Saccharomyces cerevisiae S288C: one gene and its partners. Changing the gene in region 2 together with the main gene of any one other region gives a genetic interaction. Each region holds a gene or a part of one and is shown on either strand. Other genes may lie near its edges.

The links.
Region 1: mutations in RAD55 (region 2) and POL32 impair growth when combined (synthetic growth defect), as found in Saccharomyces cerevisiae (6 studies listed by BioGRID, with this or other methods).
Region 3: mutations in RAD55 (region 2) and NUP60 together harm fitness more than expected from each alone (negative genetic interaction), as found in Saccharomyces cerevisiae (7 studies listed by BioGRID, with this or other methods).
Region 4: mutations in RAD55 (region 2) and RAD54 together harm fitness less than expected from each alone (positive genetic interaction), as found in Saccharomyces cerevisiae (6 studies listed by BioGRID, with this or other methods).

The regions. Positions count from the first base shown.
Region 1 is NC_001142.9:515,961-519,499, forward strand, and holds POL32 (DNA polymerase delta subunit POL32), read right to left. Parts: upstream 1,554-3,539; coding exon 501-1,553; downstream 1-500. Other genes in the region: NUP85 (Nup85p), read left to right, coding at 1-329; VPS55 (Vps55p), read right to left, coding at 2,803-3,225. UniProt on the Saccharomyces cerevisiae protein: DNA polymerase delta (DNA polymerase III) participates in chromosomal DNA replication.
Region 2 is NC_001136.10:596,766-601,844, forward strand, and holds RAD55 (putative DNA-dependent ATPase RAD55), read left to right. Parts: upstream 1-1,702; coding exon 1,703-2,923; downstream 2,924-5,079. Other genes in the region: phosphoprotein phosphatase PP4 catalytic subunit PPH3, read left to right, coding at 391-1,317; SED1 (Sed1p), read left to right, coding at 4,028-5,044. UniProt on the Saccharomyces cerevisiae protein: Required for radiation resistance and meiotic viability and presumably acts in recombination and recombinational DNA repair pathways.
Region 3 is NC_001133.9:150,630-154,838, reverse strand, and holds NUP60 (FG-nucleoporin NUP60), read right to left. Parts: upstream 2,583-4,209; coding exon 963-2,582; downstream 1-962. Other genes in the region: ERP1 (Erp1p), read left to right, coding at 115-774; transcription factor TFIIIC subunit TFC3, read left to right, coding at 3,673-3,742, 3,833-4,209. UniProt on the Saccharomyces cerevisiae protein: Functions as a component of the nuclear pore complex (NPC).
Region 4 is NC_001139.9:190,243-199,697, forward strand, and holds RAD54 (DNA-dependent ATPase RAD54), read right to left. Parts: upstream 6,162-9,455; coding exon 3,465-6,161; downstream 1-3,464. Other genes in the region: Ca(2+)/Mn(2+)-transporting P-type ATPase PMR1, read right to left, coding at 1-226; CUP2 (Cup2p), read left to right, coding at 887-1,564; YRB30 (Yrb30p), read right to left, coding at 1,736-3,058; SUT1 (Sut1p), read left to right, coding at 7,896-8,795; YIP5 (Yip5p), read right to left, coding at 8,968-9,455. UniProt on the Saccharomyces cerevisiae protein: Plays an essential role in homologous recombination (HR) which is a major pathway for repairing DNA double-strand breaks (DSBs), single-stranded DNA (ssDNA) gaps, and stalled or collapsed replication forks.

The DNA of each region.
Region 1 (3,539 bases), on a different chromosome or scaffold from region 2:
TGAGGGACAGAGAAGATTGGGGCCAAGCGCTGCGCCTATTGCTTTTGCTGATTGAATTCCCTTATTTACCAAAACATTACTTGGTTTTGCTTGTGGCGAAATTCCTGTACCCAATTTTCCTTTTAGATGATAAGAAGCTAATGGATGAAGATTCAGTGGCGACAGTCATTGAAGTTATAGAAACTAAATGGGATGACGCTGATGAAAAAAGTTCAAACTTATATGAAACCATTATTGAAGCAGATAAAAGCTTACCTAGTAGCATGGCAACACTTTTGAAAAATTTAAGAAAGAAACTAAATTTCAAATTATGTCAAGCGTTCATGTAAATCAGTATAGTAATGTCCTTCGGATGGTATATTAGGATATATGACGAAAATAAGTAAATTTAAACAACAATATATATTTATATTGATCTATTTTTCTATCACGTAAGTTGACATTTGTATTATACATTACATCACAATTAGTAATGGAAAGTGTTTGGAAAAAAAAGAAGATTATTTTGCCTTTCTTTTGAAAAAGCTTTCCAATGTTCCTTGCTTTTTTAACCTTTTATTCGATGACGGCGTTTCTTGCTTTTTTGAAGACGACAATGCCCTTTTTACCACGGGTGATGGCTTGCGTGGTGGTGTTGAAGTTGCGGGTCTCTTTGTCACAATATATCCATCCTCATCAATAAAAGAGGAGGGCTCTTCTTCAGATTTAGGTTCCTTTGAATGTTCTGTTTCAGAAGGCTTTGTTTGCTGTATTTTAGGTACATCCATAAGTGAATCTTCTGCTGTCGTTTCCAACAAGTCTTCTAAATCATCGTTGTTTTTGTCCTTATCGTTGCTGTCAGTTTCTTTAGGTGAGTTGGGCTTGGACCCTCCATTTACTTCCTCTGTATCTAAGTCATCTTCGACAAAAAGATTATTTAACTCTTTCATTTGAGCTTCTCTTTCAGGGTTCTGTTTATTTATTTTTTGCAAGTTCTCCTCTTTCCTTTTACGTAACTCATTTTGTCTAGAGGTTTCCTTGTCATCTCTATCCTTTTTCATCTTAGCCAGCAGTGCAGTAGACCTGAGACCCATGTCTTTAGATTTGGATTTCCTTCCGGTTGTTTCTTCTGGCGTGGTCTTTGATCTTGCTGTAGGCCTTACCAAAGGTTTAGATTTCTCTTCTAACGTCTTAGTCCTCTCTATAATTTTCGATGATTCAGAAACTTTAAGTTCGTATGAATTTTTAATGGTTAAACAATCCTTTTGATCGATAATGTCGTAATATGGTATGAAGCTGTCCATGGGATTGAAGGCATAGATGAAACAATCAATTATTGAATCTTGCTGTGGAATGTTGGAAAGATCATGAATAATTTTAATAGTTTGATCTTTGTAGCAGCATATCACTACGCAGTTGTATTTGGCATTGGTGGTCTGTTTGTAATAGTCAAACATTAATTTCTTGGCCATGGATGGGCCGATCTTCAAGTGGTGAATTAGATCCGTAAAAAGGACGGGCTTTACCTCAGTGAAGAGCTTCTCATTGATAAAATATGACGCCTTTTGATCCATTAATTACCGATTGAGTTAACTAAAGCCTATTTCTGGTTGTTAGTTAATGTGAAATATTATTTCGAGCTGATCTGATTGCGATGTAACGAACTTCTGCGTACTTTTCAAAATTAAGAGTTTCGCGTGTTTAACTCATACGCGTTTACTACTTCCGTCGGAAAGTTACACCGTAGTGGAAAATAGACCTATTCGTTAGTATAACCTTATTAAGGTACTTCCATTAATGAAGTGTTCTATATTGAGGCATACTGATCGAGAATTTTCATAAGGTGAAACGATAAAAATATAAAAATTAAGCTTAGCGCCGCTCGGTTTCGATCCGAGGACATCAGGGTTATGAGCCCTGCGCGCTTCCACTGCGCCACGGCGCTTAACTTTTATGAATATTTTAGACTTAATAAAGATTCATATTGTAAAATTAAAAACAACTTGCACACTGAGCTGTGTTAGAATGAAATCCTACTATAATCCATAGTAGTATTCATGTCACTAGCACATTACAAAATATGCCATAGGAAGATGACGTAAAGATTGAGAACTAGTCATCAGATATAATAGAAGCTGAAAAGCAAGAATTGATAATATCGGACGCTATCCTACAATAGCAGCGCAGTTGCATAATTTGTTATGTGTCGTCTTTATTGTGTGTAAAGCTTTATACACCTTTACCTTTGTGTAGAAGACAAAGACATTGTTGTTATCACTATGTCCACATTCGCTACGAGGATATTTTCAACATATCTAGTTGAAATACAAATCTCAAGCCACTATAAAAACTGCGGAATCAAACAAATGTACAATACATTATCCTACTAGAGACTAATTTCTCAAGGTTTGCAATCCCATCTCTTTTCATGAGGTATATTGCGGCACAGAATGGTTGTACGACCATTGCTCAACGTTTCCGCTCATAGATCGATTCAAATAAGATTATAGACATGTGGCGATTCAATGCCAATCCTTATCCCGAAATTACGGATGTATTCAGCCAACTTTGCCTATCTACATTATTCTGTCAACTAGAGGCTAAAGACACGAATTTCTTGGCATTTTTTGTTTGAAAACTTGAAATGGAAGAAAGACAGAAAGTAATTTTATGTAATCTATTATATTTAAGTAGTTCTAAAAAAAAGGAGAAATCGACGCCAGATTTCCCACCTTGAGTAGAGTATCATACTATATAATATCAATGTACGGTTCACGCACCCAGTTGGCTTAGTCTGTTGAGGGGATGAGTAATTGTTATATATTAACCAAAAAGGGAATCATCTTCGTTGAAATCTTTTTTGAAAAACCATTTAAAAATAACAATACTAGAATATATGATAAGACCACCGATCATGCACATGATACAACTCAAATGGCCAATCAATTGGCAATGATAGAAAACAACAGGGAGTGCTATACCGCTTGTCACCAGCATTCCTGTAAGGAAGTGAGCCAGATCTTGGCCAGTGTTTGATGAATCGGACATGAAGTCAGATGTGTGATATTTATTTCCTGCATTGAAAATTGTGTTTGGTATTGGGGCAAGCAAAAAGATCAAAATATCGAATAGTGGGTAGTAATTATGGAATAATGCGCAGCTTAGTATGACCAAAAGGAATCCCAATGCGAGGAATCCTGACAGAGAAATAATCTTTGTCAATGGTGACACTTTGAATTCCATCATAACCGTCTGGGATTTTATGTATTAAGATTCTTTGCCTTTTAGATTTGATAAATATGCGCCGATATTAGACGTGTGTGTGTGTGTGTGTGTGTGTGTGTGTGTGTGTGTGTGATTCCCCTTTTCTAGTTTTTCTCCTACTCTTTTTTTCTCAGTTTTTCGTAAAGTGGAGTGAAAGCCCATCTAAGAAAAAGGCATAATAAAATGTAATAATTTTGAGGAGTACATTTGGGTATAGAACAGGATCAAACTAATTACAAGAGATACATGGCTTTCCCGCTTAATGCGAGGAAACAGTACTTATATAAACGATATAT
Region 2 (5,079 bases):
ACTTCCAATATGTAATAACTTTATATGATATGTAACTTCTCACTATTATCCTTACTATTAAACGGTTTTTAATAAATATCATTGTTCTTTGTTTTATTAATGAGAAAAAGAAATTTAATACAATGTCCGGCGGGAAGAAAAAAAATCGATGAATTAATTGAAAAAAAGTATCTTTATCATGTGAACTGAGGAGAAGAACGGCATCTCGAAAAGAGCACGTCGAAACAGCGGTAGGTAAAAGAGGGTACTACCAGAGGTCTTTTCTCTTTATACGTTAACCTCTCAGCTTTTTCTTTTGCAATTCAGGACACTTTAACTTGTAGTCACACGCTAGTCCACGTAGCAAAGTAAAACAGCACGAAAAAAGTGATTACAAATTTCAAGGGAGATATGATGGACTTAGATAAGATTATAGCATCACTGAGAGACGGAAAACATATTCCTGAAGAAACCGTTTTTAGGCTATGTTTAAATTCACAGGAACTATTAATGAATGAAGGCAATGTAACACAAGTCGATACACCGGTTACAATATGCGGTGATATACATGGCCAATTACACGATCTACTAACGCTCTTCGAAAAGAGTGGTGGTGTAGAGAAAACAAGGTATATTTTCTTGGGCGATTTTGTGGATAGGGGATTTTACTCATTGGAGAGTTTTTTACTTTTACTATGTTACAAATTAAGATATCCTGATAGGATTACTTTAATTAGAGGCAATCACGAAACCCGGCAAATTACTAAAGTATACGGATTTTACGATGAAGTAGTAAGAAAATATGGTAATAGTAACGTATGGAGGTACTGCTGTGAAGTTTTTGATTATTTATCATTGGGGGCAATAATAAACAATAGCATATTCTGTGTTCATGGTGGATTATCTCCGGATATGACCACGGTTGATGAAATACGAACAATAGACAGGAAACAAGAAGTTCCACATGAAGGTGCTATGTGTGACTTATTATGGAGCGACCCCGAAGACGTTGACACATGGTCATTATCACCAAGAGGTGCTGGATTTCTTTTCGGTAAAAGAGAAGTTGATCAATTCTTAGAGAAAAACAACGTTGAGTTAATTGCTAGAGCTCATCAGTTAGTGATGGAAGGTTACAAAGAAATGTTCGACGGTGGATTAGTGACAGTCTGGTCGGCACCGAATTACTGTTATCGTTGTGGTAATGTAGCAGCTGTATTGAAGATAGACGACGATTTGAATCGTGAATATACAATTTTTGAAGCTGTTCAGGCACAAAATGAAGTCGGAAATGCTATAATTCCAACCAAAAAATCTCAAATGGACTATTTCTTATAAATTTTTAACAGGCACTCTAATTGTCAAGTGCATTTTTCTTTTTTTCTTCATAATGCAATAAAGGAAAAAAAATTGTAATATTACATACTTCTTTTCACATCTTAGCTAATTAACAATATGGCTTTTGAATACTAATATATACCCAGCTACCGTTTCTTCTTTTATTTTTTATTCCTTTTTTTCTTCAGTAGAATATGTTATAGATGCGGAGGTCCCCTAAGTTCTTCACGTGTTCTCTTCTCATCGCGTTTGATATGAAAAATAGAAAAAAATACATAGTAGCATGACTAACTAATAATAAGCTCCGCTATCAAAGATGTCAAGTACATTAAGGAAAGCTTTTAGATAAGGAAAAGAACTTATTAATAATATATAATATGAAAATATGTCGCTTGGTATACCACTTTCCCAATTAATAGTAGAAAGTCCAAAGCCATTAAGTAGCGGCATCACAGGATTAGATGAGATATTAAACCTGGGATTCCAGGCAAGGTCGATCTACGAAATATTTGGGCCTCCGGGCATTGGCAAGACTAATTTTGGCATTCAATTGGTGTGTAATTCGTTAGAAGGCATACAACAATCGGAAATAAACGACGATAAAATTCTATGGATAGAAACATTTCAAGAAATGCCCATAAACATACTAAGAGAACGCTTTCAAAAATTTAAAATCGTGGAAGAAAATGTGAAGCGGGTCCGAATAACGAAATTTGGACAGCTATTATATTTCTTCCAGAATTTGTTCAAATTATCTCAAAGTGTGCGATATAAACTAGTTATAATTGATGGATTTTCTCAATTAGTCTGCGATCATCTGTGTACACTAAGTAAAAGAGGCGGCGGAATGATAGATAAAACTATACACGAGTTAAAATGTCGACATTTGATATTAATTTTTACGGTAATGACCAAATACACACATTCCACGGGTTCGACAATAATAGTTTTAAATGACTGTATGAACACCGCCTTCCAATCAAACGAATTCGAATCCTTGGAAGAATACTACGAAATTTTAGACGACGGATCTAACTTCTTTGTCAACTCTAACAACGAAAGGCGTAAGAACAATGTACATATATTGAAAAGCGCGCTCGTTGCCAATATCGCTATGGGAAGCAAGGATTCCACTTGGGAAGTATTTCTAAGAGACAGGATCGGCCTTTTTAGGGATTGGAATGAACAAGTGGACGAAACCGTTTTCGTGAAAAGCAAAAGAGTGAAGGCGTCATCCTCGCAGAGTAACGAGGGATGTACTACCATCAAAGAAATGAGAATAAACAAACGAAACTTTGAAAACTTGAGAATAGCTATTGTTTTTAATTTACACGGCGAAGATAGAAAAAGAGAAGGACGAAATTTAAAGCGGTCAAGAAGCAGCGACGATCGTAACTATATTGTCAAATTTGATTTTGATAAAGCAACAGGTCAACTCCGCGATATAATTGATCTGAAACCTGATACTGCTAATATTGCCTCATTTCCAACATTATCAACAAGCAGCAGCAGTTGCTCACAAGTGTTTAACAATATTGACTCCAATGATAATCCATTACCAAATGCGGAGGGAAAGGAGGAGATAATTTATGATAGTGAAGGTTAATAGTAAAATAAAAAAACCGAAAACCGAAAACAATAAAAAATGGAAAAACGACAACATTCCACCCAACAACTACAAAGAAAAGTTAAGGGTAATTTTACCTATTTAGGATTTTAATCTGTTGGAGTTAAGGTGAATACGTTTTTCCATATTGGGGTATGCAGCTCGAACCTAAAGTGGTATGTACACATCCCCTCAAGCACACCCATTACCCTTATAGGATTAATGTAAGCAACAGCTTACACGGAATTGGAAATACTATTCAACGATCCATGCATCTGCCAGATTCGGACATGCATATTCCCCAATTGGATATAGAAAATTAACGTAAGGCAGTATCTTTTCACAATGTACTTGCAACGCGGCGACTTAAAGTTGAAGTACAACCTGCAGCAGCGGCTTTTTGTACGGTACGCCAAACTGTCAATGGATAATATTGCGTAGACCGAAAAAGGTAATCCTCAACACTACCCGTGGTGGATGACCTAAAGCAGTAATATTGGTTGGAATTATCTCCCAGACGGCACCGTCTCCCCGAGAAAGCTTAGCCCCGAGGTCTACCTTCCATACACCACTGATTGCTCCACGTCATGCGGCCTTCTTTCGAGGACAAAAAGGCATATATCGCTAAAATTAGCCATCAGAACCGTTATTGTTATTATATTTTCATTACGAAAGAGGAGAGGGCCCAGCGCGCCAGAGCACACACGGTCATTGATTACTTTATTTGGCTAAAGATCCATCCCTTCTCGATGTCATCTCTTTCCATTCTTGTGTATTTTTGATTGAAAATGATTTTTTGTCCACTAATTTCTAAAAATAAGACAAAAAGCCTTTAAGCAGTTTTTCATCCATTTTACTACGGTAAAATGAATTAGTACGGTATGGCTCCCAGTCGCATTATTTTTAGATTGGCCGTAGGGGCTGGGGTAGAACTAGAGTAAGGAACATTGCTCTGCCCTCTTTTGAACTGTCATATAAATACCTGACCTATTTTATTCTCCATTATCGTATTATCTCACCTCTCTTTTTCTATTCTCTTGTAATTATTGATTTATAGTCGTAACTACAAAGACAAGCAAAATAAAATACGTTCGCTCTATTAAGATGAAATTATCAACTGTCCTATTATCTGCCGGTTTAGCCTCGACTACTTTGGCCCAATTTTCCAACAGTACATCTGCTTCTTCCACCGATGTCACTTCCTCCTCTTCCATCTCCACTTCCTCTGGCTCAGTAACTATCACATCTTCTGAAGCTCCAGAATCCGACAACGGTACCAGCACAGCTGCACCAACTGAAACCTCAACAGAGGCTCCAACCACTGCTATCCCAACTAACGGTACCTCTACTGAAGCTCCAACCACTGCTATCCCAACTAACGGTACCTCTACTGAAGCTCCAACTGATACTACTACTGAAGCTCCAACCACCGCTCTTCCAACTAACGGTACTTCTACTGAAGCTCCAACTGATACTACTACTGAAGCTCCAACCACCGGTCTTCCAACCAACGGTACCACTTCAGCTTTCCCACCAACTACATCTTTGCCACCAAGCAACACTACCACCACTCCTCCTTACAACCCATCTACTGACTACACCACTGACTACACTGTAGTCACTGAATATACTACTTACTGTCCAGAACCAACCACTTTCACCACAAACGGTAAGACTTACACCGTCACTGAACCAACCACATTGACTATCACTGACTGTCCATGCACCATTGAAAAGCCAACAACCACATCAACCACCGAATACACTGTAGTCACTGAGTACACTACTTACTGTCCAGAACCAACCACTTTCACCACAAACGGTAAGACTTACACCGTCACTGAACCAACCACTTTGACTATCACTGACTGTCCATGTACTATTGAAAAGAGCGAAGCCCCTGAGTCTTCTGTCCCAGTTACCGAATCTAAGGGCACTACCACCAAAGAAACAGGTGTTACTACCAAACAAACCACAGCCAACCCAAGTCTAACCGTCTCCACAGTCGTCCCAGTTTCATCCTCTGCTTCTTCTCATTCCGTTGTCATCAACAGTAACGGTGCTAACGTCGTCGTTCCAGGTGCTTTAGGTTTGGCTGGTGTTGCTATGTTATTCTTATAAACGGTGGTGTTTGACACATCCGCCTTCTTAATGCT
Region 3 (4,209 bases), on a different chromosome or scaffold from region 2:
TAATAAGTTGAAAAAAAAAAACACATCAGCAGAAATGTGTACATACAAAACTTACTCTATCTTCCCTCTGTAGTTTGGAAAAGTATTTAAAGGTAACCAATCTCTCTACTAATCATGCTTTTAACCTCTCTTTTACAGGTTTTTGCCTGCTGTCTAGTTTTACCAGCTCAAGTTACTGCGTTCTATTATTATACTTCTGGTGCTGAACGTAAGTGCTTCCACAAGGAATTGTCTAAAGGTACTTTGTTCCAAGCAACTTACAAGGCACAAATTTACGATGACCAATTACAAAATTACAGAGACGCTGGTGCGCAAGATTTTGGTGTCTTGATTGATATTGAGGAAACTTTTGATGATAACCACCTGGTTGTTCATCAGAAAGGTTCAGCAAGTGGTGATTTAACTTTCCTTGCGTCTGATTCGGGTGAACATAAAATCTGTATTCAGCCCGAAGCTGGTGGCTGGTTGATTAAGGCTAAAACGAAGATTGACGTTGAATTCCAAGTGGGCTCTGATGAAAAGTTAGATTCTAAGGGTAAAGCCACTATTGACATTCTACATGCCAAGGTTAACGTCCTAAACTCCAAGATCGGCGAAATTAGAAGAGAGCAAAAATTGATGAGAGATCGTGAAGCTACCTTTAGAGACGCCTCTGAAGCTGTTAATTCTCGTGCTATGTGGTGGATTGTCATTCAATTAATTGTTCTCGCTGTTACTTGTGGCTGGCAAATGAAACACCTGGGCAAATTTTTTGTTAAGCAAAAAATTTTATGATCAGACTAAAAACCTTTTATGTATCTTCTAGAAATTTATAGTTTATAAGAGCCGCTAAAGGTATTCCTTCTTTTTGAGAAAGTGGAAAAAAAATGACTAAATAATATCATCTTGGAATGGTATTTTACACAAACTTACGTATTGAGTTGGGCTATACGGTAATTATGTCACGGCTAAAATTTTCATTATCAAAAGGTATATAGGGACTTGAAAGCCTCAACTTTATTTTCATCAACCAAGCCATTTCCTAGCTGCTTAGACACCACGGGAACATTGAAATCAAACTCTTCCGCCTTTTCCTCTGAAAAGTCGTTATCAATTGAGGCGCTGATATGTTTACCTTCATTATCGTTTTCTTGTGAAAGATTGGACCGTGATTTCTTTTGAACACTATTAAAAACAAAGCCTTTCGATGAACTTTTTTGAGGAGTAACCGAAAGATCTGGTTGGACGGGAGTAGAATCGCCCTTTGTAAGTTCGGTTTTTGGCTTTCCAACTAACGGCTTCGCCTGTAGGTTGGTAAAATTGAATTCCTTTGATGATGCAGATGGTGCGTTCTCGCTCTTATAAGCATTCTCAGTAGGTTCAACGTTTCTTGAAGTATTAAACGAGAAGTTAAAAGCAGAGGATGGAGGTTTATCTCCACCATCCTTCTTTTCAGGTGAGGTTTCAGCTACGACGACATTTGAGCGTAAGGATGAGGACCTTGCAGGTTTGTATTTAGTAAAAGAATCTTTGCTTGGCGCAGATGGTGAAATTTTGGTGGCGTTCAGTTGTTTCATTGGTTCTTCGCCTTGTTCAGGAACGTTTTGAAATAATGGCTTAACAGTAGTTTCTTCTTCACTGATCTCTTGCCTTGGTGCAGCATTTGGAGAAACTCTCTTATGTTTGCGTATTTGGCTTACATATGAGGAGTATGGATTAGCAAGTTCTGAAGCTGCATTATTCTTCTTACTGTCATTTTCATCTAATAGTGAGACCAATGCCGCAGCTGTATTACTTATTTTCTTACTAGGAGCTGACTTTGAAACACCACTTCTTACCGATTTAGCAGATGCTATACTTTGAGCAGATGTGTTGGCTGTGTATGTATCGGGGATCTTTTTCGCTGCACTATATCTATAAACGGTTGTTTTGTATGGTGAGGGCAGGCTAGAATAATTGAAACTGTATTTTCTTGAACCAATGCTTCCCAAAGTCGTATTCATTGACGCATTTGAAGTATCATATTTTGGGTTGAAGGTCGGCGCATTAGATATGCTGATTGGTGTACTTCCTGACTCCTTCAAGATAAGCGACTGGTCGATATTATTACCTTCGGCTGATTTTTGTTCTCCTTCCGAAGTTATCATGGATTTGCTTGATTTTTGTAACAATGACATCACACCCTCTATTTCAATTTCTGATAAAGGCTCATTACCTTTTTTACTAAAAAAGTTTGCAAGCTTTGCATTGGAGATGTTAGTTTCATGTGTTTCATCATACTCCTCTTCTTTATTCTCAATGTCGTTTCTGGCTTCACCCACTGCAGAAACAACTACGGAACGGTTTACAGTAGAATCTGGGGATATCTCAGAATGGAAATAACCTCCAGGCATACTTGAGATTCTTCTGTTAAAAGACTCATTGCGTGGTTGTTTATTAGCAACATTATTCCTTGGACTCACTCTGGCTGAATCTTTTTGGGTAAAGAAAGTTTTAATTTTAGAGAAAAGGCTTGGTTTATTGTGTGCATTGCTAATAATCTGCTTTCGATAGGGAGCGGAAGGCACAGTAGCGCTAGCCCTCCTCAATGATTTACGATGCATTGGATGTCGATTTTAGGATATCTTGCGGTGCTTATTTGATGTAAAGGTCTGTTATTTGATGTTTAAAAGTACACATTACAATAAGCTTTCACTTGTAAATATATCTTTTATTTTCCGAGAGGAAAAAGTTTCAAAAAAAAAAAAAAAAAAAGAAGAAAAATAACTTTCTCATGTAATAAAAGGTAACTAATGTAGACAAAAAAGTATACATTTAGCTTTTCTTTTTTTGATGATTTTTGAGTTTCATGTTACTAATCAGAACAATTAACGACACCTTCATTATGAAAAAATTAATTAGCTATAAGTCTTCGAAGTAGAACATGATATTTGGCAATCACTCGAATAACTATCTTAATTTACCTGCTGAAATAATTTGAAAAAACACCCGAGGCAGCAGACGAAAGGTGTTTTTGCTAAACAATGATTGATTTCTGGCGCCATTTCTACATTCTGAACAGTTCATCTCATTTCAGTAACAGTACTTCAATGGAATATTTATTAAAGAAAGTGCTTAAAAAAGTATTATAAAACGATACATGGACTGACTCAAGATTGAGCTAATAAGGTCCACCGCCTAGTGCTTAAGAGTTCTGTACCACTATAATAATTTATCTTGATCGTATTATGTGTAAAAAAAAGGCGCTTGAAATGAAAGCTCCGAAAATTAAAATACTTTGACTGCTTCGGAAAACAAAAACATATAAATAAATTTAAAAAATAAACTGTAAAATATTTAAAAACTATTAAAAATATTTTATATTTTTAAAATTATTTATTATTATGTCATGTGACAAGACTTAAATCATTACATAAAAGGTTTTGAAGTTCAATGTCAAAGTCAATATAATAAGCATACTAAGGCACACTTATGCAAATCGAGTTATTGAAGCTGGTAAAATTATAAGATTTTTATTTTTATTTCTTTTATTTCTGCAAATCTGCATTTTCAAATACCGCTTGGTTTTTTGCATCATAAAGGGCGGCGCTTTCAGTCGCGAAAGTGAAATAAACAACCAGTCACACATATAACTTTCTTCTTGCCATAAGAGAGAAGAGGACGTTTGGTTGAAGCCAACTAGCCACAAGAAAAATGGTACTGACGATTTATCCTGACGAACTCGTACAAATAGTGTCTGATAAAATTGCTTCAAATAAGGGAAGTATGTTCATGTCTCATTCTCCTTTTCGGCTCCGTTTAGGTGATAAACGTACTATATTGTGAAAGATTATTTACTAACGACACATTGAAGAAATCACTTTGAATCAGCTGTGGGATATATCTGGTAAATATTTTGATTTGTCTGATAAAAAAGTTAAACAGTTCGTGCTTTCATGCGTGATATTGAAAAAGGACATTGAGGTGTATTGTGATGGTGCTATAACAACTAAAAATGTGACTGATATTATAGGCGACGCTAATCATTCATACTCGGTTGGGATTACTGAGGACAGCCTATGGACATTATTAACGGGATACACAAAAAAGGAGTCAACTATTGGAAATTCTGCATTTGAACTACTTCTCGAAGTTGCCAAATCAGGAGAAAAAGGGATCAATACTATGGATTTGGCGCAGGTAACTGGGCAAGATCCTAGAAGTGTGACTGGACGTATCAAGAAAATAAAC
Region 4 (9,455 bases), on a different chromosome or scaffold from region 2:
TTTCATTGGGGCCATAAAGTGATCTCCTATTGTTGGCCTCGTTAGATGATCGTAAACCACCGTTTTTGTCAGTGTCCAGTTTTTCTAGAGCTTCGTCCACGGATAAAGTACAATACTCTAAAGAAGGGCTTGGTTTCGAAAGGGCCTCTGCTGTGGCATCTAGTATTTCTCTCTCACGGTTTGAGTCCTCGTCAAGAAGACTCGCATTAAATGGATTGTCACTCATAATTATCTTATCTTTTACTTACACTTAAGCTTACGTCTGTGCTGGCCTTGCTTCGTCTTGTCTTGCCCAGTCGTAAGGATATTATTATAGTTACTAGTATTGTTATAAATGGGAATGGAAAGAACGGGGCGAGCAAACACTATTATGATGGTGTAGAAAAAGAGGTTTTTCTATTAAGTGCTTGAAGGAAGGGCTATAGTGTACGATGGCCTAGGGAACAAGATCTCGATATAACGATAGGTAGGGTCCACACTGTTAACAAAAAAAGTACTTCTTTAAATAGAGAATCTTGTCTTGATGTAACAAAATGAAAAAAAAAAAAAATGCAACTAGAATGTAGAATACAAAAGTTTAACGATCGGCTTTGCTGTTAAGTGGTTATCTAGGGATGAGCTGAACGTGCAATTGATACCAACCGATCCTTGCTAGGAACGCAACTCTTTTCACCCACCTTCCACCACTACGATCGTGAAAGAATATTTGCTAAGAAAATCGCCAAAACGAGGCGAAGTCGCCAGGGTGCGCGGGCACGCAGGGTAAGAGCCGCAAGGCCTGGTTCGGTAAGTATTAAGCTGTGGACGAAATAGCAGTAGCCATGGCGATGTAATTTATTAGACGGCGGCTTGATAAAAGAGGACTGATAATCAGTGTATTCACAGAATGGTCGTAATTAACGGGGTCAAATATGCCTGTGAAACGTGTATCAGGGGTCACAGGGCGGCGCAGTGTACTCACACTGATGGTCCGCTACAGATGATCAGACGCAAGGGAAGACCATCGACCACATGTGGCCATTGTAAAGAGCTGAGAAGAACCAAGAACTTCAACCCATCCGGTGGGTGCATGTGTGCCTCTGCACGACGGCCAGCTGTTGGCAGCAAGGAAGATGAAACACGATGTCGTTGTGATGAGGGTGAACCTTGTAAATGTCATACCAAGAGGAAAAGCAGCCGGAAATCAAAGGGAGGGTCATGCCACAGAAGGGCAAATGATGAAGCAGCGCATGTCAATGGTCTCGGTATTGCAGATCTGGACGTTCTTTTGGGCCTAAATGGTCGCTCGTCGGATGTAGACATGACAACCACATTGCCGAGTTTGAAGCCACCTCTGCAAAACGGAGAAATTAAGGCCGACAGCATTGACAATCTTGATTTGGCTTCCCTCGATCCGCTTGAGCAAAGCCCTAGTATATCTATGGAACCTGTTAGTATCAATGAAACAGGAAGCGCATATACAACTACGAACACAGCACTAAACGATATTGACATTCCATTCTCCATCAATGAGTTGAACGAGCTATACAAACAAGTATCTTCGCATAACTCACATTCACAATAATGCATCTGGACATCTATATAAATATACATATACATATATTGGCGGTTGTTTGTTCTCCCGGCAAGCTGGCAGTCGGGCCGAGATTCGGATAAATTTTTCCATTCGTATACATATACATAGATATATACAATTATAAAATTTGTCCAAGGCTGCACAGGATACGTAACCATCCTAAAGTTTTAGGTTTTTTAACTTTTTTTCTGTCTCTTCAATTGTCGAATTGCTTATTCTATCCTTTCTGGAGTTCGTATTTTCATCGTTCAAATATATAGATAACCTTTCATCACTCACTTCCAATATACTTTTCTGATCGTTACTTTGTAAGGACGTCAGCCGAATGATGTACTCCAGTAGTGTGATCGACGAATCCTTGTCCTCCAATTTATTTTCTTCTTCTTCTTCTTCCTTTCGTTCTTCTCCGTCTTTTCCTTCCTCTTCGTCCTCCTCTTCATCTTCCTCTTCATCTTCCTCTATCGCTTCATATCCGCTTACCGCATACCAAGTAATGTCATCGAGTAATCCCTTGTCTCCTTCACTGCTCTCATTTTCTTTGTCATCGCTCCGGTCAATCTTCAATACCAACACTGGAGAATCCTGTTCTTCTAATCGGAGAAGCTTACCGGAAACACTGAAAAACAGCTTCTTAATATGGTTCAGATCTATGGCAAGTTCCTGTGGTGTGTCTTCTTTGTCATCATCCTCATGATATCTACCGTCATTGAAGTCTTGTTCTATTTTCATAAAATAATCATACTTTCTGCCTGTAGAGTTCAATCTATATATCCTTGCTTTTGCACGTTTCATATCCTCTTTCCAAACAATTCCTGATTGCCCATTGTTTTCTGAAGTTAGGTTATAGAAAATAGAGAATAGTGTAACCTCAAATGTAGGCCCCACTTGAACTTTTAGAATCTCCTTGTCACCTGTTCCTTTCTCATTACTCTTCATTGCCTTTTCATACTTTCTATTGTTCTCGCTAACGAAATCGGAGGCTTTTAATAATAAACCAGGAGAAAGTTGATATGGGAGTGCGCTGTTCAAGTTGGCACCAGAAGTGGTTAAAGAAAGATTAATGAATGGAGTGATTTCTTCGATCCTCAATAGCAAGTCCTTTATATAGTTTTCTACCGCTTTAATAGCTTCATTCTGTGTTTTTGCGCTCCTGGAACCCTCAACTTTCTGCGTCATTTCGTTGATCTTCTCATCAAACCTATCAATCTCTTCTTTTAAATCCTTGGTTAACCTCAGAGTGATTTGCAAATTCGTGTTTCCCCTCGCCGCTACCAGCTTTATTAGGTCAATTGCACTGGATACAATAGCCATGCGGCTTTCCAGTTTAAATTTCAGTTGATCTATTCTTCTAGCATCATCCTTAGGAATCTGGACGACAAAGTTCGTTATTGTCTTTAGCGCATATGTGGATGCTATCGATATTCCGGATTTTATAGCAAATGTAACGGCTTGTGAACCTGCTTTGGCAAGAATTTCATCCATTCTCTTCAGATATTGGTGTTAGGTAATAGTTAAAGTTAATCCTTCTGAGAGTGTGAAACTGTATCAGATTTTTATTTCCCTGACAGCGTGAGATTTTCTTGCCATAATCTTTTTTGGCAGTTTCGGCTGGCACTTTACCACGATAAAACTGAAGATAATGAAAAATTTAAAAGCTAGCACAAGTATAATATGACATCGCTCAACTTTTTTTACCCTTAAGTTATACGATTATACTTTTTTGATTGAAATACATAGAGATATTTACCAATTTGGCCCCAATTTTCAATTGTTTATTACGTCTAAATATATATAACCATGCCCATCATTTAAAATAAATATGTAATGACCCCCCGACGATCGAATTCTACTTTTTGTTTTTGTTTTATAAGTACATGTATGTAAGAGATCAATGTGAAATATATTGAAATGCAAAACTGATATCATTGTAATGATGCTCGTTTTTTAGTAGATGATCATTTGTTTTTTCCAATGCGTCATGGTTCAAATGATTCCAAGTTGTCGCATCACCATATAACATTGCAGGGGCTCTCTTTAATTGTTTACCCTGAGCATTACAACGTTTACAATGGTATGTTTCGTGTGTTTCACATATCGTATTCTCATTTTTTTGAAACAACTGTCTTAAATTGTCAGAACTAAACAACCTTTCAACGTCTTCTTTCGCATCGACCACGCATGAACTCAAACTCATTTTCATAGATTGTCTTTGAAAGATTTTTTCCTCTATGGTACCAGTCGATATGAATCTGTAAATGAAACAATCCTTTTTTTGACCGTCTCTCCAAACACGTGCCAAAGCTTGTTGATCAGCAGCAGGATTCCAATCCGGATCCATCAAAATTAATCGATTTGCACCAATCAAATTGATACCACACCCACCTGCTTTAGAACTTAAGAGGAAGATGAACTCTTGGCCTTCAGGATCGTTGAACCTATCCACCAATTTTTGTCTTTTGTTAATTGACATTGTACCATCCAACCGTACAGCACTGTAGTGCTTATATCTACACATTTTTTCAATGAGGTCCAAGGTTTGGGTATAGTTGGAGATCAAAACAATCTTATCATCGGATTCGGTCTTTATCTTATGGAGAAATCTTTCCAAAATGGAAAATTTAGCTGAATATTTTGTTTGTACGTCCCTGGCTTTTGAACCCGGCATATTATAATCGTCAGGTAGTTCCAAATCATCTTCATCGTCAAATTCATCTTCAAAATTCAAGAGATTAGGGTGATTACATAGCTTCTTTAAAATACCAATAGCCCTCAGGGGCTGAGACCCACCAACACCTTTTACTACTTTTTTCACTTCTCTTGACTTAATTAATTTATTGTAGAGCTCGTTCTGCAACGGCTTCAAGTTTACGAAAATAACGTGCTCATACTTGCAAGGCAAATATTTGGCCAAAATATCGTTAGTACGACGGATAATAAATTTGGAGACAATGGTAGATAGCTTCTGTAATTGCGCCTCGCCCTTTGTGATTTCTTTATCAGTAGCATCAGCATCACGCCCTCGCAAAATTGGATTCTCAAAATTTTTCCTAAATTCTGCTCTGGAACCTAATAAGCCAGGATTCGAAAAACTCAGTAGAGCAAAATATTCGGAAAGATCGTTTTGAATGGGTGTACCAGATAATATAACTCTTCTAGGACAACTGATGCTATCCAAAGCTGTGAATGTTAAAGAGTCACCGTTTTTCAAACGGTGCCCTTCATCTGCCAGCATTAAACCCACATTGCAGTTTTTCAATTGATCAACATTTCGACGTAATGTTTCATACGATATGATTAAAACGGGCTTAACAATATTTCTTCCCTGTGCCTGAGCCCAGGCATGAATAGCTTGCGAAACTGTTGTATTACCACCACCCATTGAAGATTTTTTCCCATCAACCGCTAACGGAGTTAGAGTATTGGGACCCAACCATTTTATCAATTCATTAGCCCAGTTGTTGACTAAAGAAGATGGACAAACAATGATACATTTGTCGATAAGTCTTTTACCCTGCGGGCCCTGTCTTAATAATGTCCACATAAGTGCTATACACTGCAATGTCTTACCCAGCCCCATTTCATCGGCCATGATGCAGCCGTAGGCCCCTCTATTGTTTTGTTCAGTCTTTTGAGATTCAGTAAGTGCCTTCTCGTCGCTCTTTAAGGGATCTTCGCTTGAAGTGTTGAACGCCTCAGCTTCTAAGTAATCTTTCATGACAAGCCCTGTGACACAACGGTATAAGAATCTCACCCCTTCGACTTGATGGGGTCTTAAAATCTTGGCCAGTTTTGGATCAATAACCACAGGGACACTAGCAAATTTCTTCTTGTTTTCCGCAGAGTTTTCCGAATCACCGAGTAGCTCACGTAACGGTTTGTTTCTCACACCATTTGTCATCAAAGCTGGATGGCGTCCTATTCTTTGTGTGGGTCTTTCTTCCTGGCTATTCTTTTCCTTGTTAATATTATCCTTTTCCTGTGTGCTTTTGATCATTTTCTTTGATTCTTCTTCCTTGTTATCCATAGATGTGTCATGGACAATCATTTCACCGTCAACGGACGGGTCATAAAGCACTATGGCAAATTCGTCTGTAGGGTCATGTAGAGGTCGAGGTTCTGGAGTAATTTTTTTTTTCATTCCTAACGTTAATGGCAGACTGTGTCTTTGTACATATCCCTTGATTGGCACAGTGAAAGATCTTCTCAAAGTGTACTGGATATGACTCAGTCTTGTCGGATCCTTGGCCAACCTTTGAGCACTAAGAGCATCCTTCCGTCGTTTAGTCAACTGAGAAAAACTTATGTCTTGGCTGTTGTACTCTGCTTCGTCCGCATTTATATCCAAGCCGGAATAACATACAGTCGCTGATCTTTTCCTCAAGCTCCTTCCTCCTACGATATTATCAGACCCGGTGGCGATTCTACCAGCAGCGGGCGGGATGTGCGTGTTCTTGTACGGGACCCTGAACGGTTTCGTTAGTCGGTTCACCGAGTCTTGTACGTTAATAGGCCTAGGTACCAGTCTCGGCCGTTCACCGGCTCCTATTCCATTTGGTGGTCTGTCTGGTAATCTGCGTCTTGCCATCAGTTATAAGGAAATATATATGGTACCTTGAAATAGAGCTAAGTTCTGAGCGTTTGATTTTTCTATACTTTCGTAGCAGCTTTAGTGAAGAAAGAGAAAAGTTGCTGCTCTAGATTTTGTATCGGCTATTACGTCAAGTGAGAAGAGTTTTGGCCTTCGCTTCAGTTAGATCTTCTATTATTTCCTTTTTTTTCTTTTTGTTTGTAATTGTTTTTTATTTTTTTTTTTGCGCGAAACTTTGCTATATTGGGTAACGCGTAAAATACTTTTTATTATTGCAGTAAGGCGGAAGGGTCTTCCCCTTTGCATGTTAAATAGCATACATGGCACCACTCAGGTCCAGAACGTGACACATCTTTGCACCACTTGTGTATTTTCAAGATGTTAAATTTTTGATACATAAGCTTTATCATGCAGGTGCAGTAGACGCATTTGCGTACGCGTTGAGTAGTAATGCAAGAACGCAACAATTTCACGCTTTCTACTTAAGAGGACAGATCTTCGAGCAGAATATTTTTCTCCTAGCGCGGCTTTCAGAATCTTCTTACCATCTGCAGGACATCACATGCAAGCACATGAAGCTGGAACCACGCACCATTAAATGTAAACCTACAGACATAGCTAGCACAGAAATGCTACTTTGGAAACCTCGGTTGCATCGGCTGACCTCGGCTGTTCAGCAACGTGAGCTGGTTGTTGTTATTGTTCATAGAATCCTGTATTTTACCAGTGTAGCTTTGTCCGCCCACCCCACGCTTTTGGCCACTAGTATGTACGTATATGCGTGGGCTCTATATCATTGAAAACGAATTTTCCACGCAAAACCCACTTCACACCATAAAGGCCTTATGACGATGTACATTCTTCCCCTCCCCCCTCCTCCCGAAGGAACCCTTATAGTGATCCTAATACGGTATAACGTAAACCGGAGTTGTCAGCAGAGAGAAGCGAATAATATGTTTTGCGTGGGGTTCCCACGAGCGGCAGGAACCGTAGCGCATTGAAAAATGAATCATCGATCATCTTTGGGTTTCAAGGGTTCGGACTTCGCCAAAGGTCCGAATACTTCCACCAGTATTTCTCTTTTTCCCTTTCCAGTCTCGTTCTTCGCCGAATCCCCGCTTTCCCATCATGATCGTTTCTCTGTTTCTCTCTTTCCGGAACAGGCTCTTTTCTGACCGCCAGTTCGTGCGGTTAGTTCTGTGGATCTTGCAGGCACTTGCCGGTTTAGCCACACTTCTCCGCTGTTTGTGTCGAATTTCCCTCGAGTATGAGAAAGACTGGACCACAAAAGAGGGAAAAAAAATGGGCCGATTTTAAACCATTATAGGTCACAGAAAAACTTTCTTACGACGGTGGTTTTTCAACAATACGTTTCTTGAGCAGGAGAGGAGCTTTGTTCTTTTGCCTTAGTTTTTTTTGTCTTTTTTTGTGAGCCATCCTGCTGTCGTTGCCATACATGACAGATCCACATTTGCCTTGTTGTTTTTAGTTTTTGTTCCTTGCACCATATAAAAGCGTCACTTGTATTTTCCTTACTCATCTAAACTTCAAGCTTTTTCGTCATAGTAGGTTTGTGATCTCGGCAAAGAAAAAAAATTTTTTTGCCGATCTTTCTGGTTATTGTTTCAGGTATCTTTATGAAAGTATTAGTGTACGCACTGGATTTTTGGTAGGTCTATAAAAGTGCAACACATAATCTAAATCATTGAGGTCATCGTATGTCAAAAGAAGATGTCCACAAGCATTACAGTAAGAAATAGAGATCGATCGCTACCACCGCTATTGCTCCCCAATGTTTCCCTGCTAGAAAAAGATATACGGCGTAAAGGCACCCAAAATGTGGGCATCACCGATCCAGAACTCTTGTCGACCACTTGGACGAGGAAGCGGGCTTTTCCGACTGACGAGCTTTTAGGAGGCTATAAGAGATTAAAGCCTGCTGCCGCTGACAGTAATGAGTGCGCTATTGGTATTGCCACGGTGACGCCGCCGCCAACGCTCCCCGTAAGTGCGATTGTTCCCCCTCCACAAAATTACACTCCACCATTGTTTGAGTATCATCCTCATGCTCTTGCTTCCATGGTCAATGAAGACGCTAATGCGTCATGCACTCAAATGTCTATAATTTCGCGCTCAACGAGCAACTCGACAACCTCCTCTGCCACATCTACTAGTTCAATTTCCAAGAGACAAAGAAGTGGCCCAAGTTGTGACAAATGTCGTTTGAAAAAAATAAAATGTAATGCGAAAATTGAGATTTTGCTTCAAGACGATACTATAATGCCAATGATCTCGAACAAGTTGCGGTACGTCTTGACTCCTGACGATATTCGGCTATATCGAGGCACGCTGTTGCGGAATATTGCCATACCGGATGATGTCATTGAGGGTACAGGCTCACGCAAGTTGATTAAGCATATTGATAAGTTGGTTTTGCTCACACCTTGTTTACCATGCATTAAGAAAAAGCATTCTTCTTCTTCCACTAATTTCCCAAAAAATGATAAATGTACTTTTTCAAAAGGCTTTACCAGAGCTGACATAAACATTTCATCCAAAATCTCCTTAAAATTTAAGGATAAAACCATTTACGACATAACCTATGATGACTATAAAAGCATTGATTTTTAGACAAAGGCATCTCTAATGAATAGCATCACAAAACTTGCATTTAGCATTAACATATATGGATATATATGTACACACAGAAAACGTATAAACACTCATGTATAACCCTACATAATAAGAGTATACAATGATACTAGTCATAAAAAGTATTGTGTGTATAGACGTGCGCATATTTTCAAAATATTATAAACCTGAACAATAGACAGAATAAAGTATGCAGCGCAACGACAACGATGATGGACAGCGAAAATTTCCCGTTCGATTGTGTCTCCGTATTATTATTACTCGATATTTGAGAATTCAAGAAATAAGACGACTGTGCCCACCCAAGAGCCACAATTGCCCATTGAATTGCTTGAACAGTCCTCAGGCGCTTGGACATATCCAATATATTCAATATAACACAAACGGGTATCCAGATCAAGTTAGCGTACCCGTAAACGGAAATCAATTCAGGAACACTTTTGAAGCTTCTATTGCGCTCCGAGTGCTCATCTCTATTCAATACTTGCATGGTAATAAATGGTACGCCGAACGTGTACCCGTAAAATAGCCAAATAGAATGCAGTAGCTTCTTAAACTGACTGGCCCTGTCGATGTCCTCACCAGTCTTGACGCCCTCAATTACGTCACTGATAATAAAATTTAACCCCCTACTCATGG